Linked DNA regions of Cricetulus griseus. The protein of the gene in region 2 interacts with the protein of the main gene of each other region in a pairwise test. Links are inferred from orthologs where the notes say so. Each region holds a gene or a part of one and is shown on either strand. Other genes may lie near its edges. The genes, in order: cysteine-rich hydrophobic domain-containing protein 2, Hoxa1 and Rgs17.

The links.
Region 1: the proteins of Hoxa1 (region 2) and cysteine-rich hydrophobic domain-containing protein 2 interact in binary tests that used the Homo sapiens proteins (3 or more experiments, as listed by UniProt). The two-hybrid records come from large-scale screens. The link is inferred for Cricetulus griseus from reciprocal best matches to the Homo sapiens genes HOXA1 and CHIC2.
Region 3: the proteins of Hoxa1 (region 2) and Rgs17 interact in binary tests that used the Homo sapiens proteins (3 or more experiments, as listed by UniProt). The two-hybrid records come from large-scale screens. The link is inferred for Cricetulus griseus from reciprocal best matches to the Homo sapiens genes HOXA1 and RGS17.

The regions. Positions count from the first base shown.
Region 1 is NW_023276807.1:141,511,768-141,519,237, forward strand, and holds part of cysteine-rich hydrophobic domain-containing protein 2, read right to left. Parts: intron 4,071-7,470; coding exon 4,014-4,070; intron 3,851-4,013; coding exon 3,791-3,850; intron 1-3,790.
Region 2 is NC_048601.1:89,184,808-89,192,377, reverse strand, and holds Hoxa1 (homeobox protein Hox-A1), read right to left. Parts: upstream 4,393-7,570; 5' UTR 4,279-4,392; coding exon 3,630-4,278; intron 3,101-3,629; coding exon 2,745-3,100; 3' UTR 1,645-2,744; downstream 1-1,644. UniProt on the Homo sapiens protein: Sequence-specific transcription factor. Regulates multiple developmental processes including brainstem, inner and outer ear, abducens nerve and cardiovascular development and morphogenesis as well as cognition and behavior.
Region 3 is NC_048595.1:283,385,258-283,392,827, forward strand, and holds the start of Rgs17 (regulator of G-protein signaling 17), read right to left. Parts: upstream 4,410-7,570; 5' UTR 4,245-4,409; intron 3,811-4,244; exon of another isoform or gene 3,789-3,810; intron 1-3,788. UniProt on the Homo sapiens protein: Regulates G protein-coupled receptor signaling cascades, including signaling via muscarinic acetylcholine receptor CHRM2 and dopamine receptor DRD2.

The DNA.
Region 1 (7,470 bases), on a different chromosome or scaffold from region 2:
GTTGGGAATGCGTTTTTCTCGGAAACTGTGTCTTGACATGGGAGGCTGTGGTCATTAGTGTGGTTAACATGTAGGCCGGGAACTTTCATTTTCATTCTTAAGTTCCACTGGCTTTTTAATTTGCCTCAATAAAGAAAGTACTTCCTTTCATTCTTGGTTCACAAACACTCCTGTCCCTTTCTAGTTACCCTGTAGGAAGCCTTAGGGGTCACCCATGTCACTTTCCTGACCTGGTATTTACATAGAAGGTCTCACTGGCTTCCTAGTAGAGTATGTTCTCACTGAGGATAAGTACTTGCTGAGTGCCTAGTCAAAGTATCTCTATTCCTCATCCCACAACAAGACTCAGATAACATTATGGAAGGGAGGAGGAAAGAATATAAGAACCTAAGGAAAAGGGCACCAGGAAACCCTGTCTTCTGGACACGGTGTGCACATTATACTCATGAACTCACATTTATGAACTTGGGTTACCTTGCCCAAGATTTTGGGTAGATGGGTGAAGGGCTCATGCAACCTCACCCCTTAACTAAGAAGCTAGTGGCAATTCCTAGCTGCTGGGTGAAGGAGAATCATTTTCTTCAGGGTGTAGGCATTGGTTAAGTTGCCCATGATCCAGTAAATAATCCTGTACCAAAGCACATGCTAGCAACCCTAAACTCAACAGGTTATTTTTAAAAGAGAAAGAGACAGATAAACATGGAGTATAAGAGGGGTTGTGTTGAGAAGAAGGGCTCCAGAGGAAGTGGGGAATAGAACTTCAGATATGGAGGAAGAGGGGTATGGGAACAAAATACATTCTAAACATGTTTGAAATTGTCCAAGTATAAATAAAATATGTTTAAAAAAAATTGCAGGGCTGGAAAGATAACTCAATGGTTAAGAGCACTGGTTGTGTTAAGACAGGGTTTCCTGGTGCCCTTTTCCTCGGGTTCTTACATTCTTTCCTCCCCCTTCCATAGAGTTATCTGAGCCTTGTTGTGAGATGAGTAATAGAGATACTTTGACTAGGCACTCAGCAAGTACTTATCCTCAGTGAGAACATACTCTACTAGGAAGCCAGTGAGACATTCTATGTAAATTACAGAGGACCTGGGTTCGCTCCCCAGCACCCATGTGGTGGCTCACAACTCCAGCTCTAGGGGATCCAATGCCTTCTTCTGGCCTTTGAGGGCACCAGGCACAAATATGGTGCACAGACGTACATGCAGGCAAAACATTCATACATATAAAATAAAAATAAATACATCTTTTCAAAAAGTACTTTTTTCTCTACCCAGCTTCTTTCTTTATTTGTGCTCAATTTCCTTGTTTCTCATGTTTTCCAACTATAAATAAATGGTTGGACTAGATAAAAAGGTTCTTTGTAGCTCTAAAGGTTAATGATTAAATATTTACATGACTTACAAGTTCACACTGAATAAATATTAGATATTCAAACACATCTTCCACTAGAGTGTTTTTAAATTTCAGGCCCGAGGGGTGAGCACACTATTTTAAAGTGTATATACAAAGTGTAAAACAGTGTCTATTTTTTATTTTTATACATCCGTGTTTTGTTGAATGGATATACATGTACTATTTGTGTATATTTAAGTATGTAGCATGCGTGCACCGGGTACCTCAGAGGTTAGAGGAGAATGTCAGATCCTCTGGGACAGGAGTTCTATATGAGCAGACATGGAGATGCTAAGAACTAACCTGAATCCTCTGCAAGTGTAACAAGTGCTCAGAACTGATGAACCAACTCTCTAGCCCAACATGACTATTTCTGACTATCTGACTCTGCCTTAGTTTGAAGGAACAGTGCCCTGCAAACGTTTCCCTTCACAAATCCTACACACACTTCATACATGAGTGAAAACAAAAAAATAGTTTTGCATTGGTGTTTTATTCTAGATTATCTCTAACAGTCAAAATATAATAAAGGGGAAGCACTTAGCTTTAACAATCAGAGGTTGTATAAGTTATAGGCAAAGGCATATATATGCACAGTAGTAAGGCTCAAAGTTCATTAAATAAGGAGGCCTTTTCTTCTTACTAGCCTCTCTCTGTGTGTGACTATGGTGCTCAAATGCTTTTAAGCTTCCGAAGCTGTTTATTCCTGCTTTCAACTACTACAAATACGCATACATTAAGAATATCTAAAAATCACTTTAAAGGTCAATTTTAAAAGTACTTTTGTAGACTTTCTATGGTCATGTGAAATACAATTCATTTTAAAGTACTTAATTATGCAAAATTTCAAGGTAAATTAAAAAATTTCATGAACTATGCAGTTTAGAATGTTTTCAAAAGCTACTAATTTAATTATAAAGAAAGAATTTTTAAAGATAAAATCCAATTCAAATACTATATGAATGAATGTTCTTCATAGAGCTCCACTTGGAAATCACATAATTTACACTTTTCTTTTCTCAATGCAAGAGATTCAACCCCTTGTGTCATAGGCACATGCTCTACCACTGGGCTATATCCAGTTTGTTATTAACTTTCATTTTTTCCCTTTCTGAAATAAATTTAGAAACACAAAAAGTAATTAAAGCTTCAGGTTTAAGCTTGGTGCTCTGGTTTATACATGTATAATAGCAAATCATTATTTCATGAATCCTTTGAAATGTCCCAGTATCTGTCCTGCCCTCCTAACAGGCAATAGAGCTCTTACAATGATGAAATGACTGGTACCTGTCCAGGTTAACCTCAAATGGGCCTCTCAGCTGTTCCCTTTCTATGGTTATAAAGAAATTTAACATATGATTGTAAAGGTAAACCCTAAATTGCTTAGTTTGTGAACAGCGAGAGCTTGGGGTTGGGGAGCAAACACATAAAATATTTTTGATGTTCAAGGAGAGAAAGGAGATTTGGCTGTCTGATAATGAAAGAATCAGAAATGGTTTTATGAACATTTCCAACTGTTTAAACACTTTTTAACCAACCTTTTATACATATAAACAATGAGGATTATATTGTTTCAAAGAACAGTGAAAATTCCTCAGAAATGTAACACCAGGTCCTTCACAAAGACTGGTAGTTTTAGTTTCAATAAATTCTTCCTTTCTTAAATCTTTTTCTCTTAATCTAATAACCTGTCCATGCTCAATGGAGAATTAATAAATTCAAAGTTTCTTAAAGTATTCTGAACTTTTCAAAAGAACAACAACTGTTCAAATAAATAAGGGCATCAATAAACTAAATTTCTGAAATGATTGCGTGCATACACATTTATGTATGTGAAAGCAAAATTAGCCATATTTTAAAGGACAAAACAGGTTGGCCAACATCTGTTTATGTTTAAGATAACTGTACAAAGCAATGATCTAGTAACACTTGGAAAACCCTCTAAAGCCATGAGATACACAGGCAGCCAGAGGCTATAAAGGCTTCTCAGGCTCCAACGGCTTGGCTGAAAGGTTCTCTTCCATACTTGGAAACTTGATTAGCATTATATAAAAACGCCATATCTGACGTGCTGCGTAACCAAGGTTGTGGTTATTCTTTATACAGCATCTAAAATTTCACACTCCATCAACACATGTTCAGGCCATTTTATCTTGGCAATTAATTTATTATTTTTCAGAACACAGTGAAGCCTTGTTTTCAAGTCATTCATAACTTTATAAATCAGTCTTGCACATGAAACCCAGGCATCTGTGAACCGTAGAAAATCCTTGCACTCAGGAGATTAAGCTCCTGACACCTTTGCTGATTAATAATCATGGAAAGAATAAGATCAGAAACAAAATAAATGATCATTTAATAGAGAAACTCACAAAACAGCCCTTTAACTTACATATTCCATCATGTTGTTCGTTTCACATTTCCTTTTGCTCAGTCTCCAGTGCAAGCACAGCTAGACACGAAGAAAGGCAAAAGAAGAGAAATGAGCTCTGTTTTCCTAGGCACAAGGCTCACCCATTCGTCCACCTTTCATATTTTCAGCCAACAAAAGCATCTGTTTCCATACTGTGCAATTCAGAGCCCAACAGTACGAAGCTGCTCCCTGCAGTACTCACCTTGTGGTATAACCTATTGTTTTCCCATTCTAATAACTTCTCAATCGATCTTCGTGTCTGGAAGACAAATGAGGGGAAAGTTTACTCTTGACTGGTTTTAGAAAAGCTGTTTTGCAGCTGCTTTTTGTGTGAAAAGGGAAGAAGTATAAAATGATGACAAGAGTGGTCTGTACTCTACACGGTCCAGCACTAAGAAGCTCATCAGAGACAGTAGTTTGTAAAGAAACATTGATTTTGTTTTAAGTATATATGCTTATATTTTTAAAGTATTTTGAACTTGCTAGCCTTTCATTTAAAACTAGTAGTCTAAAAAGCAAATGCCATTTCATTTAAACTTAAATCCCTACTTCTTTAGGAAATATTTTTCAGTATTTAAATAGTAATGAACATCCCTTAATCTCTATTTTTAAAACAATAATAATTTAAATATTAGTTAACAAAATATAAATGGCCTTTAGGGTAAATATAAAAACACTACTAACTGAAGGCTAATAAAGGGAGAAAATGAGTTATAAAAATCAAACTAATTTTAGGACTGTGCAAGAAAATCAGTTCATTGGTTACTGCAGTTTTCAAACAGCCAAATTTTATTTAAAGCAGCATAAATGTTGTATCTGAGAGTAAAATTGATTCTTAATCCAAGGGTACTTACTGCTTCAGGGCTTCCCTTAGTTGCTGCACAGACTAAGCAGCATGGACCACTCTCACTTGGGAGTGTGAATAAAGAAGCTAATGCATGGAGCCAGGTGTCAGGATGAGACTAACTCTGCAGGTGCAGAAGTGATAGCACTGCTAAGAGACCAACTGCAACTTGATGCAGCTGCAGCTTTCTTGAGAAGGAAGAAGGCATCTACCGATATTAAATGTGGCACAACTGTAAATAAGTCCTGATAATCTGATGGAAACTTGAATGCCAACCAGCATTGAGTGATGTGAAAAACTGGTAGAACAAGCTGGTTTTGAAGTCTGTTACATAAAAATGTTACGATGTATTTAAAGTATCTACTGTAATCCAGTTCCAGCATTACATCTCAGCATGTTGAACTGCTACAAAGACACTGAAGTCACAGAGGCACCAATTATAATTCATAGCTAACAACAAATTACCACGAGTGCTTATATTTTCCAATTTTATGTCATAAAAATCAGAAAATCAACATTTTCTGGCAATAATATGTCAATGACTAATTTATTACAATTTTTGAACAGTCTTTTTTGGTAAGAATTTTAAAGAAAAAGTGCCCTTGTTAGCAATGATCAGCAGCCCTCACTTGTTTCTTTGTAAGATAGCCTTTTAGAGGCAGCTCTCCTTTTAAATGAAAATAGGGCAGCAGTTATGGTCACACTTTTTGTTAATTTAGTTGCCAGTCAGCCCCAAATCAAAAGAAAATAAGGCTGCAGAGAGTAATTAACATTCAGTTCAGTCGTTTTGTCCCTTGTCTAGCCCCCAAGCTTTGTTAAAATTGCCATCTGAATGCTGAAGGCTGTAGGGAAATCGATTTGATTCTAATCGCACCATGAAAAGAACATGATCTAACTGCTTTCAGCCCTCCGTAAATCTGTACTAGGTCTTTAGCACAATGCAACTTCCAATTTAAAAAGCACTGAATGTCTCGTCAATGACTTTGTGAAGAAAAAAGAACAAGGAGCAGACATAAAAATTCCAATAGTTGTTTAAGCATTAAAGTTCATTTGCATCACAGCGAACCTGAAAAGGGCTGACCTCTCAAACCGCCTCTCAGGTCTATGAAGTTGTAGCCTTGACAAGCTCACATTGACAGAGCTCATTGACTCTGAAAGGCTACTCTATCAATGGTGAAAAATGGCAATAGGTTCTACTATGAGCAGGCATCTGCCTGCCCACCCGCTGCTAAACCAATGGTAAAACCGTTTCAAAACCTGAATCCACCTTGTAATCTTCCTTTCTAGGACCTTTTAATAATAGATTAAGATTACTATACAATTTGAGGTTTTACTTTTACTGATGGTTTAAAAGAAGATGGGGAAAATTAAAGAAATAGAGTAGGGAGAAATAGCTCTTGAAGTCTGTTGTTTTATAGTAAAACTATATAAAAGTAGTTGCTAAAAACTTAACATTACATTTTGCAATATTTATTATTCAAAGAAAAGAGTGTTTTTTAAACCATATCAACTTATCAGAATGTATAAGCTATGCTATATACAGTGAGAACATCTTATTATCATTCATACATAGATATATACGCATGCACACATACACATGACATTTACAAACTTAAAAATATTTACTTTTATCTTAAATCAAATACCAGTATTTGTATAAAGATAATTACGAAGTATGAACCTAAAATTCTAAAATATTTATTTAGGAACTTCGAATTTATTCTTTGTCTCTAATTAGGAGTTTAATAATAGGGTTGGGTATAATTGTATCCCATAATATTAAGAATTCTAAAGCAAACAAAGTTTGCTATGCCATACTCTGTATGATCATCTGAATATTCAATATTTCTACACTGTTGAAGTCTGAAGTAAAGCTGTGAATTAGCACCATCTAATCTTGCTATAAGACTTCTCTCCTGCTTGACAGGTGAAAAAAAGGCACTTGCACGTGCAGCTTAATTAATCACTGCACTTGACATCTCAATGATTTGCAGCGAGGAGCAGGTGAGAACACACAAAACCAGAAAGGAACCCTTGATTTGAGTAGAACATTTCTAGCACACTAAGGTGACAAGTAAGTGATTCTAGCAATGATTTAAAAAAAAAAAAAAAGTAAAGAAAGAAACTGTGCCACAAATTATTTGTTAGTAACAACAAAAGATCAAATTAAATGGAAGAAAAAAAGGCTTAACCATAGAGAATGTTTAATACTATGCAATTATTTTTAGTTAACAAAATCAAAATATATTTTCAAGATGAAGTACAATACCAATTTGGCAGATAGTGGGGGAAATATGACATTTCAGCATTATAAAAGCTATTTCAAAGCTTTTAAACTTCAGTGGGAAGAAAGCACATTTTAATTACAGTCATCTAGAAATAAAAGTTAAGAGTTTATGTCCACAGGGTTGTCAGATTCTAATGAGATATTAAAATTCAACACAGCCAAATCTAGTATCTATTAACCGGACAAGCAAATCTAATCATATAAATACCTGTCATTTAATTTGAAGGGATTATACTACCTTGCAAATTCAAAATATTTTAAGTTAAAAGGATCAGAAAAAAATTCATATCAAACATGGAATACCAACAAAATATTATTCTTCTAGGCAACTTTCTAAAAATAAGACATATTATCTTCCTTAAAAGAATTTAGTGCTTGAGAAAAATACCAGATTGATAGTCATGGGAACTAAAAAATCTTCTGTTTAGCTGAAAGGACAGGAGAAAGGGCAGTGCAGGCTTCAGTACAAGTTCCCTACAGTGGGCCTTAATCCTTTTCAGTACTCACACACTGGGGTGGAAAGACAGG
Region 2 (7,570 bases):
CTCTGAGACCAGGACAGAAAAAAAAGAGACCTTGAAATAGGATGTGTTAAGCGACTTTGATTTAATCGATTGGGACAGCTAAAAAGATACAAATGTTTTCCTTGTTGAAAGGTATATTAATGTCTCCTAAATGCATTGCTTGTTAGCTGATTTATTCTACCACCTAGGAAAGGCTAGGGATATTTAGCCATAATTTATCGTTCTCTTCCCTCTTAGCTACATTAAAACCAGCACCTTGAAGATAGGAATCTCTAGGATTCCTGCAGGTCAGACCCTGCTTTCAGATATTGAAATCAGGACAGTGGTATGCAAATGGCACTTTAACACATTAAAGTATTTGAAAACCAGCCATCTGTTTTGCTTTGTGGCCTTACACTAATAAACAAAAGATACAGTATAGCCAGGCGGGGAAATGAAAGAAAAGGGTGGTGTCTTTGAAGTTCTCTCCATCCACTTGAATCTTTTCAGGCGACCTCAGAACCAGCAGCTGAGGGAGGGTGCCCAGAGCCCTTGATATGCATGCAGCAACTGCTCCCACAAAGTCCATTTAACAGGGTTGTGCAGGAAATCTCACAAGTGTTCTAGAAGGCCTGCAAATTCCGAAGGTTTGTAGGTTTTTCTCCTCAGCCCATCTTTTCAAAACACCCTTTGAAAAGGAAGTCACATGTCTGTATCTGTGATGCTGTAGATTTTCTACTCTGCTCTGAGGGCTCAAAGCCTCCAAATGTGTGTGAAAACTGAGGAAGGTCCAACACTTGCCTAGAACGTACAAGGCTCTGAGTCCCATCCCCAGCACCACCAGGAAAAGAGTTAGAAAATGTTGCTTAAACCCTGAAATATGTTAAAAAATAAAAGGAAATTGGCAAGAGGTCTAGAACAGCTCTGTTGAATGTCATCATTTGTTGACTCCCTCTGAGATCTGACACATGCCTCTATCAGAAACAACTTGGATACACAAAGATGTGAGCTGGTTTTCATAAGGTCAACTGGAAGAATCTGAATCTAGAGACTATCAACTTCTGCCCAGCCTATGTGGCATGGAATTAGAAATGGAGAGCCTTTGCAGTCATGATGGCAATGACATGAAAGTTGAATTTGAAGGGATAAGATTGCAATGCAGAGATGTAAGGGAGTGGTTGAAAGAATGGATATTGATAGAAAGAACAGGGGGTGGGAGGCAGACCATACTCAACTTAAAAGATACTTTTATACTGAAGCTGATTAAATGTGAATCTCTCTGCCGTTGGTTCTCTAATGTGAGGAAAGACTGACTGAAGACAGTTTTCAGCTTTTGAAGGGGCTCTGTTTATATATGTGTCAACATTCAGTTGGAGGTGAAAAGGTTAGCACTTGACCCGGGAAGTATCCATGTTTGTTTCAAAAATAGATCTCCTTCATACATTGCTTCACTAGTTTTTCCATTTTGAACTTTGGTTATAATAAAGGAGTGGTTGTTATGATAAAGAGATCAGTGCATTAGCTAGACATTGGTTGGATGAGGCTATACTTATAAGGAATGCTGCAAGCTACATGACAATGGAGGGCCCACTTCTTTGAAAATAAATACCACCCTTCTGTCCTTCCCCATATATCCTTCCCCTTACTTTGTAGTAAGACACAAACTGTAGCCCAGCCAAATACACAGATGCTTAAGCATACCCAAAACTTGAATATTTTTTATTACAGACGTCTTAAGACCCGTAAACTCTGCTCTGGATCACATCCCTCTGGGATCTCAGAGCTGTTCATGATTGTACAGGAAAGGGGGACTATCGTAGGCTCACAAAAGATAACTGATAGAACTCAGTGTGGTACTTCAGGGACATCAAAACATTGTGCGACATGCAGAAGACTATTCACGAATCACACAAAATATACATTCATTGTGCCATCACATTAACAATTAGCTGAAAATACATTGTATCCAGCCAAGATAACTGTGGAAAGAAAGGGTGACTGAAAAGAGTACCTTTAGGTTACAAATAATCCAGCACACTTTTTAAGTGGAGGGTGGCCAGAGAAGCAAGAAGAAATCGGTAATTTGGGAAGTCTTGGCACAGCAAAGGTTCTGAACTTTGGGCTTCTCAGGCCTTCTTGACTCTGCAAGAGCAAATTGAGGCTACCTTTTGAGGAATCTGGTTCTGTTTGAATGCCAGGGTCCCCCCTTTTTTGTCCACCCATAATCACCAGTTTTGGAAGTTTGCCCACCCTGTTTGATATAGTTCTGCATGTTTCTAGAAAATCTGTATAAAGATAAATCTCTCAAGAGAAAGTTAAGGGGTGAATTAATTGTGTAAACACACTCAGTCAATCTCTTCTTCATGAGCCTTTGGATACTCTCTTTTTTGTGTGTCCTACTTAAGAGCCAGGTAGAGAAGAACAATATACAGATAAAAGGTGAGATGCCTCCCTTCTTCAAATGCCTGCTGGCAAAGGGTACTGTCCTCCAAGGGACATCTGAAAGGAACCATGGGTTGTGTAAAAAAAACTCTCACAACAGTGAGGAAGGAATTTTGGGGGCCACCAGAAATTGATATGGGCACCCGATGTGGATTAAGGATTTAATTTACAACCAAGTCTCCAGAATTCTATGGAACTACATTATGTTGCCCAGGAGCTCTCTGGATTGGACCAGAAAGAAAAAGAGAGACTGTAAAGGAAGAAAGATAAGCTAGAGATGTGCTTTGGGTAAGAAACCCTAGCCCAGGGAGAAGCCTGGACTACGGAGCTGGGCTGGAGTGGCCTCAATGGGAGGTAGGCAGGGTGTCTGAGGTAGATGATGCTGGAGAAGGAACGCAGGGCGAGGAGCTGGATTTCTCAGAAGATTCTTCAGCTTTCTCGTCGCTTCCAGGAGGAGTGGCTGGAGAAATGGGCAGGAGCCCCTCCTTCTCACGCTTCTTCTGCTTCATGCGGCGATTCTGGAACCAGATCTTCACCTGGGTCTCGTTGAGCTGCAGGGACGCGGCTATCTCCACCCTGCGCGCTCGTGTCAGGTACTTGTTGAAGTGGAACTCCTTCTCCAGCTCCGTGAGCTGCTTGGTGGTGAAGTTGGTGCGCACTGCGTTGGGTTGACCCACATAGCCATACTCTCCAACTTTCCCTGGGGTAACGGAGGAAGAGAGGAAAAGGTAAAAATTCTTTAACCCTTATCCGATTGCCCAATGTTCGGGGCAACATTCGGTTAACTGCTCAGCACAAACCCAGCTGGGAAGCTCTAGTGACAAACGATGTGTATGTAAAGTGTTAACCTGAAGTCAACCATTAGCGTGGTCAGGCTTCTGATTAATGGAGCCTGTAGATATTAACAAAACTCCACCACCACCGACACCTCCCACCCACACCACACCACACACACACACACACACACACACACACACACACACACACACACACACACACACGCTTCCTACTTCTAGACCACTGAAGCATCAGCCCCTTTGAAAATGCCAGGTCCAGAAACTGCTTTGCCCCAACACACCTGGGCATCCTACACCACACACTATAACTCCAGAAGACACTAGACAGAAGCAAGAACCCATCTTTTAAAATCATTAACTTTCCTAGGAAACTAAGCGCACCGGCCCCTTTCAAAATCAAGCAACATTTGTTTGCCAGCCGGCAGGACTCACCTGTTTTGGGAGGGTTTCTTTTGACTTTCATCCAGTCAAAGGTCTGCGCTGGAGAAGGCGTCTCTGAAGCAGGGGAGCGACAGGCTTCTTGGTGGCTGGCGTGGAGAGGGGATAAGGAGTTATTATACGTGGCCAGGGCCAGGCTCTGGTGCTCTTGTCCATAAGAGTGGTGGATATACTGAGGCGAGCCCACCGTGCCCCCAGCATAACCCTGGTGGTGGTGGTGGTGGTGATGCTGGACCATGGGAGATGAGAGGTTTCCAGAGTAAACAGCGGGAGCGCACGGGGAGTACCCACCACTTACGTCTGCTTCCTGATTTAATCCATAGGGGCCATAAGGCGCACTGAAGTTCTGCGCGCCATAGCTTGGACCACAACTCGAGTGGGAGTAGGAAACCCCCAGACTCCCAGAAGTCTGGTAAGTAGACGGCTGGGGGTGGTGATGGTGGTGGTGGTGGGGCGAGCTGATCTGCACCCCCCTGCCCACTAGGAAGCGGTCGTCGCCGCCGCAGCTGTTGGCACTGACCGCGCAGGATTGGAAAGTTGTAATCCCATGGTCAGAGGTGTAGGCTCGCGCAGAGCAGGTCCCGGAGTCGCCACTGCCAAGGATGGGATATTCCAGGAAGGAGCTCATTCTTGCATTGTCCATCTGTCACTGAGTGACTGGGTCCTGCGAAGCCCTGGGTGACCGTGCCAACTTTCTCACTTCCTCCATGGGACCAGAGAAGAAAAATGATATGAATGTACAGTGCGCAAGAGGCGGGGCGGGAAGGCGGAGGACTCAAGGGGAAGGACACGTGACTTTGTCAACCAATGGCTGAGCCGCCTGCGAAAGTTTACCGGCTGCGGCGGTGATGGATCACCGTTTCAGTGGCATTTAAATCCCCGGCGCTCCTCAGTCTAGGTGACGCGCGGTCGCCCCCCCAGGCTGCCCGGGCCGCGGCGGCTGCTCCGGCCGCTGCCAGAGCTGACTTGGAGCACTGGGGCCAAGGGGAGTAGAGATTGACTTCTGCGCGCGCCCGACTCTGCTCGCCTCCGCCTCCAGGATGTGGGGGATGGGAGGCGACCCTCCGCGGCCCTTTCCCCACCCAGCCTAGAAAGCTGAACTGACAAGAGGTGAGAGGGGACGAGGCCTCTCGGCTCTCTTGAGGCGGGCCTCGGTAGGCCAGAGCTCTCTGCATGGTCTCAAGGACCCTGGCGGAGCCGGGAGCAAACAGGGTGGGAAGGGTAGGAATCCAGCACACATCATCCCCTCAGCTCGGGATGGCCGCCACCACCCAGTCCCTGCAGAGACTTGAGCCTGGAACCCAGGCGCCTAGGGCAAGGCTGCGTCACTGCCTCACCCGCCTCGGAATGTAGGGGGACGTGCGCAAAGGATTGTCTGGGAGGAATCAGGGTGGGTGTGATGGGGACCAGAGAAAGAAAAGAAGCTACTGTCCTCATCCGGAGGGTCTCAGAGCCCTCTGCCCTGACTCCTACGGGCCAATAGCGTGGCTATGGGAGCTTCTGTAATTCGACCCCAGGGGGGCGGGGGAGCCCTAGGAACCCAGCTCTCTGGGAAAGTCCGGGTGTCTGCTCTCTTCTCTGCCCTCCCTCTTCTCTGGATCTCTTCCCCTTTCTCCTTCCCAGTCAGTCAGCTTTGCTCTTGGTAGTCCCTCAGGATCCGGAGCAACTCTGCTGCTGGAGTTTGAGGGTGGAAGGCAGATGAGAAAGATGACGCTAGCAGACGTGGCCGGCATGAGGGCCGAGCCTGAGCTGCAGGCCTTCTGTCTGCTCTTAGAGACCCAGGAGCTTGCTCGCTCCAGCGTAGGCCTCAGAGGGACGGAGGGACGGGACAGAAGGACGGATCGCACAGTTCTTACAAAGTATGCTGACCTCCCGCGTCACATTTCTCTCTTTCATAAGGGGCTTGCTTGTTAGGAGTGGGAAAACCTCCTCTTGCCACCGCCCCCTATTGCATGTCTGGGGGGTGGGGAGGGACTGGCAGGTGGGAGGGGCAGTGGACAGATGGCTGAGTGGATTGTATACTTTCCAACGGACTGTGTAGTTGCTTGTGTGAACCTTCAGGTCACTCCCCAGAGAGACACGTGCAAATGTGAGCATCATCCCAGGACAGGGGTCCTGTTTTCCATCAACCTCACCCCTACGATGATGCTGATGGTGTTGGTAATTGCTGTTTACTGTTAGGTTTAATGTCAGCCCTAGGCTTGAAGAGAGAAAAGGCCACACAGAGAATGAACGCGTTCTTAAGTAGGAGAAAGTCAGTGATCACCTAAGAAACCTTGCAAGCAATTCTGCACAGGTTTTATTCTGACCATGCTTCTAGACGTGAAATTATCAGAGTAATTTATGTGTGAGTTTGGGTGTTCTCTGTCTATAGAAAAAGGAAGTTTTGTTCAGAGCAGCCACTTTTCAAATGTGAGGTCACTCTTCAGACTTTGTTTTGTTCTCCACATATAGAAGTTGTGGTCCCCTCCACCCCTACCCCCAGTCCCAAACCTGACCATCCTCAGGGAGATCTAAGTAGACCTTGTGTCTGGTCTTCCTCAGTAGCAACCACTTATTTGAGGAGTGGTGTTTCTCTGTGACCTTTGACTCACCCCCAAGGCTTGGTTAAGGGGGAGCAAGGACTGGAAAGTTTCCCCTGCTTTAGCTTCAGCTCCTGAGGAATCATCAGAGGAAAGCAAGGTAGACCTCCCTGAGGAGGTTGTCTTGGGAGGGCAGTCCTCCAGCTATGAAGAAAGCAGGGACTCCTGTGGGTCGGCAGGAAGTGAGAGGCTCAATGGAGTGAGTGCTGGTGAGCTGCTCATTTAGCAGGAGACGTCCATTCCTTCTCCCCCTTGCCTCTTTCCTGGCCTTCCGTGGGCTTCCCCTCCGGATTTGCATTAACATGCTAGCTCCAGGACTGGGGCCTCAAAGCTGCCCCAGGCCTCTGTCGGCCTGCTTGTGCTAGTTCTCACTCCCTTCAGCCCTCTCCCTCCACCTTTGTTTTCCTGAACAGACTAGATGGGGTGCTTTCCTCTCGAGATCACAGGCAGGCACTGGAACCCGGCCCACAGACACCCGGGCTTCCACAGACCTTGCCCTATTAACTGCAGGCTCGGCCTCTGCCGGCTGCGGCTGCGGCCCATGCTTTCCCGGGTAGGCTTTCCAAGACAGCCTCCCCTAGCCTGATCTCGGTAGGCTTCTGCAGCCCTGATTCTTTCCCAGCCCCCACCCTGGAGGAATCATCGGGAAGGCTACTGAGCAGGGTAAGAGACCTTTGGTCTTTTGAGCAAGCAGGCCAGCAACCCACGCAATCGAGCTAAAGTCTCTTTAAATAGCCCCCAGTAGAGTGGGTGAAAGGCGAGCTTGGGCCATGAGTGAAATAATCCTCTGCAAGCGGCTTGCTTGGCTCCAAGTGTCTCTTTCATGGCCCTTCCACTGGAAAGGGAATGAACAAGGAGGAGACAAACAGAGGCCCCGAGCTGTTCTTGGCATCCGCGGCTCAGCCAAGCTGTTGTTTTAAAAGAGCAATAAAAATGAATTATGACTAAACGCCTTCTAACTTAATGCTTTCGGACGGGGATCCCCGGCAAATACGTAAGAGGTTTTTTATTTGTGCATGTGTTCCTGCAATTGATCTCTTTGATGACATTCTCATTCATAGAAAGCGTTTGATTTATGAGCTTAGGACGAATCGCATCCAGGAGCTCAACAGTTCTGCCACAGCCGGGGACGCCCTGGTTGGCTCTCTTGGAGTCTGGGGTTTGAACCTACACAGTCCCCACACATCAAGGCTGCTGAGGGCCTGGGGGAGTAAAGGGTGGAGGGACAGGGCGGTAGGGAGCATACCCCTGAAGAAAGATTGAGGTTTCATTGTAATTCCCAAGCCTTTGCAGTTAAGAGCTGGGTTCTTAGACACCAATCAGCTGGCCTCACGCACATGTTGCTGCAGTTTC
Region 3 (7,570 bases), on a different chromosome or scaffold from region 2:
TCAGTGTGGGTACTCGGTAAAGCACGAACATTTTGTGTGTGTGTGTGTGTGTGTGTGTGTGTGTGTGTGTGTGTGTGTGTGTGTGTGACTTCTTTTCTACACCTTGACTTTTGAGAGAGGACCTCTCATTAAACCTGACATTAGCACTCCCTGCCAGGTTGACTGACAGCAAGTTCCTTGTCTCTTCCTGTCTGTCTTCCTGAAACCCAGTGTTGCGGTTATAGGCATTCAGAACATGCCTTGTTTATATGTGGTTGCTGGGGATCTGAATTCAGGACCTCTTGCTTTCAAACTAAGCATTCTTACCACTTAAGCCATCTCCCCAGCCTGCCACTGTAGGTTTTAGAACAAGGTTTCTCACTGAACCTGGAGCCCATAGTTTCAGCTAAGCAGGTCAGAAGACCTTTCTGAGCCATGTCAATTTTGCAAAGTTAATTCATTTAGTAAATATCTAATACTTCCCTTTCTTAGTTACTGTGCTAGGTGCTGGCACAGTAGCAAGTATAATAATCTAAGTGGATTTTTAAAAAATTTGCTAAAGTTACTTAAAGGATAAATGGAGGTGAGGGGAGATAGGAAAGATGGGCACTGTCTACTTAGAGGAAATGAAGTATTTGTTTTATAGAAGCACTCTATAAAACCCCATAGTATGGTCTTTAGTAATTGACAGATAAATGTATTAGTGCCCACATTTTCCCTTCTGGAGAGTGAAGTATCTTCATTGTTCTGTAGATAGAACTAGGGTATCCAAATCCCCTACAGAAATGCCATAGAATGGATTCCCAAATGCCATAGAATGGATTCCTGTCCTTTTGGCTCCCTGCTTCACTGCTAATGACTACTTCTCCAGGAAAGTCCATACATTTCAGCAAATAGACTTCTAGTGCAAGATCCCATGTCTTCATAGCAGAACATTCACATCTAAGTTCTTCCTTACCCTTCAGTCTGTGAGTCAGCAGAATTCTCATCATTTAGGATGGAGACCATTCAATTCACATTTATTTAGCTCTTTAACAAAGCCAAACAAGAATGTAGCTTTTTGTTTTCAAAGCGTCTTCCCTGGGTGTATGCTAATGAGATTTATTCTGAAAAAGTATAAGAAATCCTTAGGAATTATGATGGATTTAGACCATTGGCACTAAGACCTTAAATGAACTAAATCCTGATACGGTGGGCATCCTTTAAGAACGAGCACAGATAACACACACACACACACACACACACACACACACACACACACACACACATATATATATATATATTATTATATATATTATATATATATATCTTGAGTTCTATTATGACAGAGAGCACATGTGATAGCTACACTATGATATATATTTAATATTTACTTTTTTTGAATTATGGATATTTGTCACCAATATCTTGCAGCTTTCCCAAACATGTCGACATTTATAAGTAACATATAAGTATGGTATAGTAAAAAGAATGAAAGCTCCAGGGACTTGGATAAGCATCCAAATTAACTTTGCAATTGTCTAAATCTGAGCATTAAGTAGACAATCCACACTGTAGGAATTTGTATTTATGGTGATGAGGACACAAACAGTATCCTAGATGTTTGAATTTCCTGGAGCATAATTAATAAGATACACAGTTAGTATTTCCCTGATTGGCTGAAGCTAATTATAGTTCCAGTTTAACAGCATTTAGTGTTTTAAGCCTCTCATACACTCTGCACTGTATTCATTCAACCAATCTTTACATTTCTAATCACCTACTATCACATAGAAAATTTCTTATGTGATGTATTATGTTATTATAACTTAATTTGAAGGTTTCAGATGGTAGAAATAATGAGTATAAATAATGAGTATAAATTGATATTGAAAATGTCTTGAAGATTTTGGAATAAAATTTTAAGATGGGAAGGGTTAGATAAATTATCATTTGGTAAATGCAACAATATAACAAGTTTTTGAATGTTGAGTTACCCTTTTTCACGTTTTTATAAATTTTATTTTATAAATACAATACAAACTATGAGTCTGAAAAAAAAAAAAAGAACGAGCACAGTGCCCAAAGTAGGGACTAACTAACCTAATGAGAAGTTGAGGCAACACAGTCAAAAAACGTGGAAATGGGCAAAACGAACACCTTACACTGCTTGCTTTTAAGTGAATGGGTTTCTTTATCTTTCGGAGACAATTTCAAGAGGGAAGATGCTACCTGTGATGTGGGTTCTGGTATTATTCCCATGGACAGGCATCTCATTTCACAAAACATATTCTTTTCTGTAATAGTAAACACTTGTCTTCTTAGTTCCCCAAACTGTAAATAAACCTCATCCATAGGCCCTAAATACAGCCCTTAAGATTATAAATTAGTAAATAAACCTAATAAACCTACATTGCCATGAGTGGGATGATTACTATTTTAGTTCATGATAACGGGAGAAGTTGCTTCATAATAGTAAGTTAACAGAAGGTCAAACTTCTCAGTCATGTGACTTAGATGAGTATGAATTACCCTTTGATCGGTTATCAGTGTTGCAATGCATGTCCCATGCATAACTGCTACTGTTACAACGACAGACTTCGGAGATGCAGACAAAGAATGAGCCTCACGGTTTGCGAATTCTTCAATTCATACAGCGTCTAGTAGCTCAGAACTTAACGAGGAAACATTATCAGAGTAAAATTTATTTCTGTCTTTACCAACTGAATGGTTTTCAGAAAGGTTCACCACGCTGAAAACCAGTGTGCCTGAGCACCGGAAATGCAGTCTCAGAAGTGTTTATCCTAGGTGGGAACCAAATTGAGGTTCCTCTTTCTCTGTGATAACCAACCCATGATGGACAGAATCCTGCTGTAACCCCTCCCCCCCGTCCCCTTTAAGGAGGCGGAAAGGGGCAACTAAAAGCTTGCAAAGTTCTTCAGACAAGACATAGAAGGATGAATTTACTGAAGGGTCAGTAGGGAGCGGGGAGTGTTGGAACACTATGCTCAGAGCCAGGGGCAGGGTTCCTGGGCGACCAGGATCTCTCAAGCGAGCCTGCTTCCCTAGTTCTCCGTGGAGGAAAAGGACACACGCCTCGTCTTGTACCCACATCTTTTAGACCAGGTGACCCATGCTCAGTCTCTGGGAGCCCTCAGACTCCTGAGTGAGTGGTGCGCCTCCTGCTAGTCAGGAGCAGGTCCCCACCCGATGCTCTGTTCTTCCGCCATCCTCAGGTCCTCCGACATTTTTCACCAAGACACAGAGGTAGGGAGAAGAGGAGACAACAGGAAAGTGTCTGCAACCAGCCTCTGCGGCAGCCCGAGAAAAGAGAGGAGGAGGGAGGCTAGCGAGGAGGCAGCTAGAAGCTGTGATCCATCCGTAATCAGGAGACCCAGCTCCCACAGCAAGGAAGTCTGTGATGCCACCCAGCGGGGCAGCGGCTGGGGGCTGGTGGGCGTTCCTGATCTTCACTCTCTCGATTTCTGTAAAACCGACCCGGTGCCATGCACACCAGAACTCGTTTTCTCAGGGGTGGGGGAGGAACAAAAGAGACTCTCACCTTCTGCAATACACACACACACACACACACACACACACACACACACACACACGCAACGCGCGCGCACACACACTCACAGCAGCTGCTCAAGGTATCTGTAAAACCATTATCTGCACTGAATCGCTTATTTTCCCTAAAGGCACCAACAGATAAAAGGAGAAATGAGACCACCCGAGGTGGTTCGCGGCTGAGACCAAACAGCCACGAAAAGCTTGGGGACCCAGATCCCCTGCGCGCTCCCCCTCCCGCCACTGCAGAGCTCTCTCACCTCCAGGTCCCCGAAGGTGTTGAGTCCTTTCCCCGCGGGAGCGGGGACACCCGAAACCGCGACCCGGCAGGACAACCGTCCAGACCCTCTGCAGAGCCGGCAGGGGTGGGGGGATGAGAGTGGACTGAGCCCTGCGGCGGGCCACGCGGGATTCAACTTCGCGGAGCCACCGAGCGGTGCTGCCCACTGACACCCGCGCACCCCACTGTCTCACCAGCCAGGGACTGGCGACAGACATTCCCCCTTGCCCCCCTTCCCTCTTTCTCACACCTCCTCCTCGCCGTGTGTGTGTGTGTGTGTGTGTGTGTGTGTGTGTGTGTGTGTGTGTGTGTGTGGTGGGGGGGTGGGGAGGGCAAAATGAGCAAAGGAAAAAAAAATCAAACCCACCCATCAGTGCAAAGCAGACATTTTTATGTCATTTCTTATCCTATTAGGGATTCAGAGGTCGCGCCTTACCGGGTGGCCTGGGGTGTGGGTGAGCGCACCGCGGTCCGAGGGTGCGCGAGGCTGGGCTGCTCAGTCCTCTAGAGGAGCCGGCTCACTGCCATCCACCCAACTTCAGCACCGGGCGACGGAGACAGGGAGCCAGGCCAGCAGAGAGCGGAGAGGGAGGAGGCTGGGGTGGGCGGGGAGGGAGCGAGAGAGCGAACAAGCGGCTCGCAGCGCATGCGTCTGGCAGCCCCTCGCTCCGCTCTGCCGGAGGTGAGGCGTCCTCCCCTCCCGCGGGCGCGCGCCCGCGTGAGTCACCACCGTCGTGTCCCTCCTTGGCGTGCCCGCCCGGGGACCGAGCTCACTGTGTCTCGGTGCCAGGCGGCTAGGCGACACCAGTGGGGAGGCTCGGGGTGCCTTCCTGGAAAGGACGCAATTTACAAGGAAGAACTCTCCTAATTTGCTTTCACCCATAGCTCAAGTGGTGTTGCCTAGTCCTGGGACCAGGCCTGCAGGTCTCTTAGGCACTCAAGGAGCCTTAGGTTTGGGCTGGCTTCAAGGGAGTGTAAACATGAGTCTTTTACTTTTATTGATGTCTTACCCAGAAATACCCAAGAATTCCTCCAGGCGCTCTCTGGCCTTAGGTAGATACACCTTCTGGGCTTCTGGAGCTGGGGTTCAGTGAGAGAAACCTAATTCAGGGCAGGAGTCAAGAACACTTAGCCGGCTGTGGAAACCTGGGGCTTAAAGCATCCTTATAGGACCCCTTGACAGTGACAGGAATTGCTAATCTGCTCCCCAGCAGAGCACAGCTTGGTAATGAAGGAGCCTTGGATGCTTAATGCATTCCAAGCCCTAGATTGTACCTCCTGTGATTAGGCTGAAGTGTTTCTGAGGCAGGGCAAGGAGAGCGGATGTCTTTCTCTTTAGATTCCACATCTGTGGGAAGGGGAGTGAGTTCCTGCAGGAGTGATTAGGCTTTTTCCTTACACCTAATTAGAACTGATTGCTTGTAGATGTATATGACAGCCTCCTGCTGGGGTCCTCCTGTATGCAAATACTGTTGTATTCCAGCCCTTGCCCCACCTCCTCCAATTAATATAACTTGGGGTGTGTGTGTGTGTGTGTGTGTGTGTGTGTGTGTGTGTGTGTGTGTGTGTGTGTGTGAGAGAGAGAGAGAGAGAGAGAGAGAGAGAGAGAGAGAGAGCTCTTTTCTTGAGCTACACCCAATGGCTTTGTGTACTAATGCCCTGAAAATGCACTCCTTGGAGCTGATCTACAAACTCTACTGATTTGTAATGAGAAATAAGCACAGAAATGGAGACTGAAATTTAGGAATTTTTGTAGCGATTTACCATTGCCATGGCATCTAAGTGCTTCAGTCAGTTGTAGCTGGCATGCTCTATTTTAAGCGTAATTCATTTGTTGTTGTTGTTGGAGATTACGAAAGTACATTTTGATCCATTATGGGTGTTCTAACAACATATCACAGAATGGGTGACTCACAGACAACAGAAACTAACCCATCACAATACTGGAGAGGGTCAAAGAGTCCAAGGTCAGATGTAGTCAGGTTGGGTGTTTTATGAGGGGTCAAGTACTGACATATGTAATGCTTTGGACTCACAGTCCCAGGGTAAATAAGACGGCCCTCTGGTGTGACATTTATAAAGACCACTATGTCTCTACATGATGCTTCATCCATGTGATCTAACCACTTTTGAATCTAACACTTCTGACTGCAATTACTTTGGGAGTTAGGGTTTTAACAAAGGGATTTATGGAGACAAGTGTTCTATATTATTGGTCCATAATGGACCAAAAATATTCTCCCAATGGTATAAGCTGCAGTGACTCCTTGGTAATACCCTCTTACACTAGTATCTTTATTCCTAATCTCTAATGAGCTGACCCACCTTAACTGAAGAATTACAGCTACTAACAATTCTTGAACAACTGCCTTTACTGTTACCGTTATCACCATTAATATTTATTGAGCAATTAGTTGCTGCTGGATATTGGCCTAAATTATTTTCATGTGTTTCCTATTCTCTTTGCGCAACAACCCCACAAGGTAGATACTATTATTATCATGTTTAGCAGGCATCTCAGAGGCTGAGTGGCAGAAATCCACCCCCTCCAAACCTGTTCCTCCTTGGATTGTTCAACCCAGTTATCCAATCCAAAAATGTAAAGCCATCCTTGCTTTACCTCCTTGTCTTCATCCTCATCCAGTTAATTAGCAAGTCATATTATCTCTTCCTCAAAAATACATACCCAATTTGTACACTCAGTTCCTTCTCCACTATGGTAGCCTTGATCCAATCCACTACCATCTCTTACTTAGATAACTCAAGGTCTTCTATTTGAATCCCCTGTTTTCTCCTCCCCAAACACTCTAAATATCAGCTTAATGATCTTCTAGAAGCATGCAGATCTTGTCATGTGACTACTTAAAATCCTCTAGACTTCCCTTGTATTTTAAACACAGCCCATGATCCATCTCTTACCTTGGGAGGTTCTGTTCAATAGTCTTCCAACTTTATTTGCTCTTATCTTGCTTCCATGGACCAGAATGATGATTGTTCTGGCTGCATAGGGATGTCAGCATATGATACCTGTTGTCTTTCTTCCTAGAATCCTATTCATGTACTTCTTTACATAGCAGGCAATTTAATGTCATGGATGCATCTGTTTCCAAGAAAGGCCTGATCCAACCACCATGAAAACTATTCCAATGAGACAAGCAGTTCTTTTCTATTTAGAAGGATCCCCTTGTATTGTTTTATTTTATTAAAGAAATACTTTTCCCAATATCTAAATAAGTTGCTTAGTTTCTACCTTTTCATCCCATATTAGAATAAAGTCTTCCAAAACTTCACTTTTCTTTTCTGTTGCATCTCCATGGTTCAGAACAGGATTCAGCATGTAATATCAACTTGATGAATATCTGTTGAATGAACAAGTGAATGATTGAATAAATCAAAAACCTAGAAAATGTGTCTTTGGTGTTCACTGCTGGTTTTTCTTGGATTCTAATTGCTTCTCACCAAAGTCTGTTGCTTCTAAACACATATATCTCACAGGTTCCTCAGCCCAACCTAGGAAAGATGACATTTAACCTATATGCAAGGGTCAAGTTCCAATAACAAACTTTGAAACAAGCATACCACACTTTTTCTTTTTTCCAGTATCAAGAATTAACTCTGTAGCCTACTGCATGCTAGACAAGGTCTCTACTACTGAATATCCCCAGCCTTCTTTTTAACTTTTTTATTTTGAGACATAGTCTCACTAAGATGACCGAGCTGTCCTCAAACTCACTCTGGAGTATAAGTGTAACTTGAATTTAC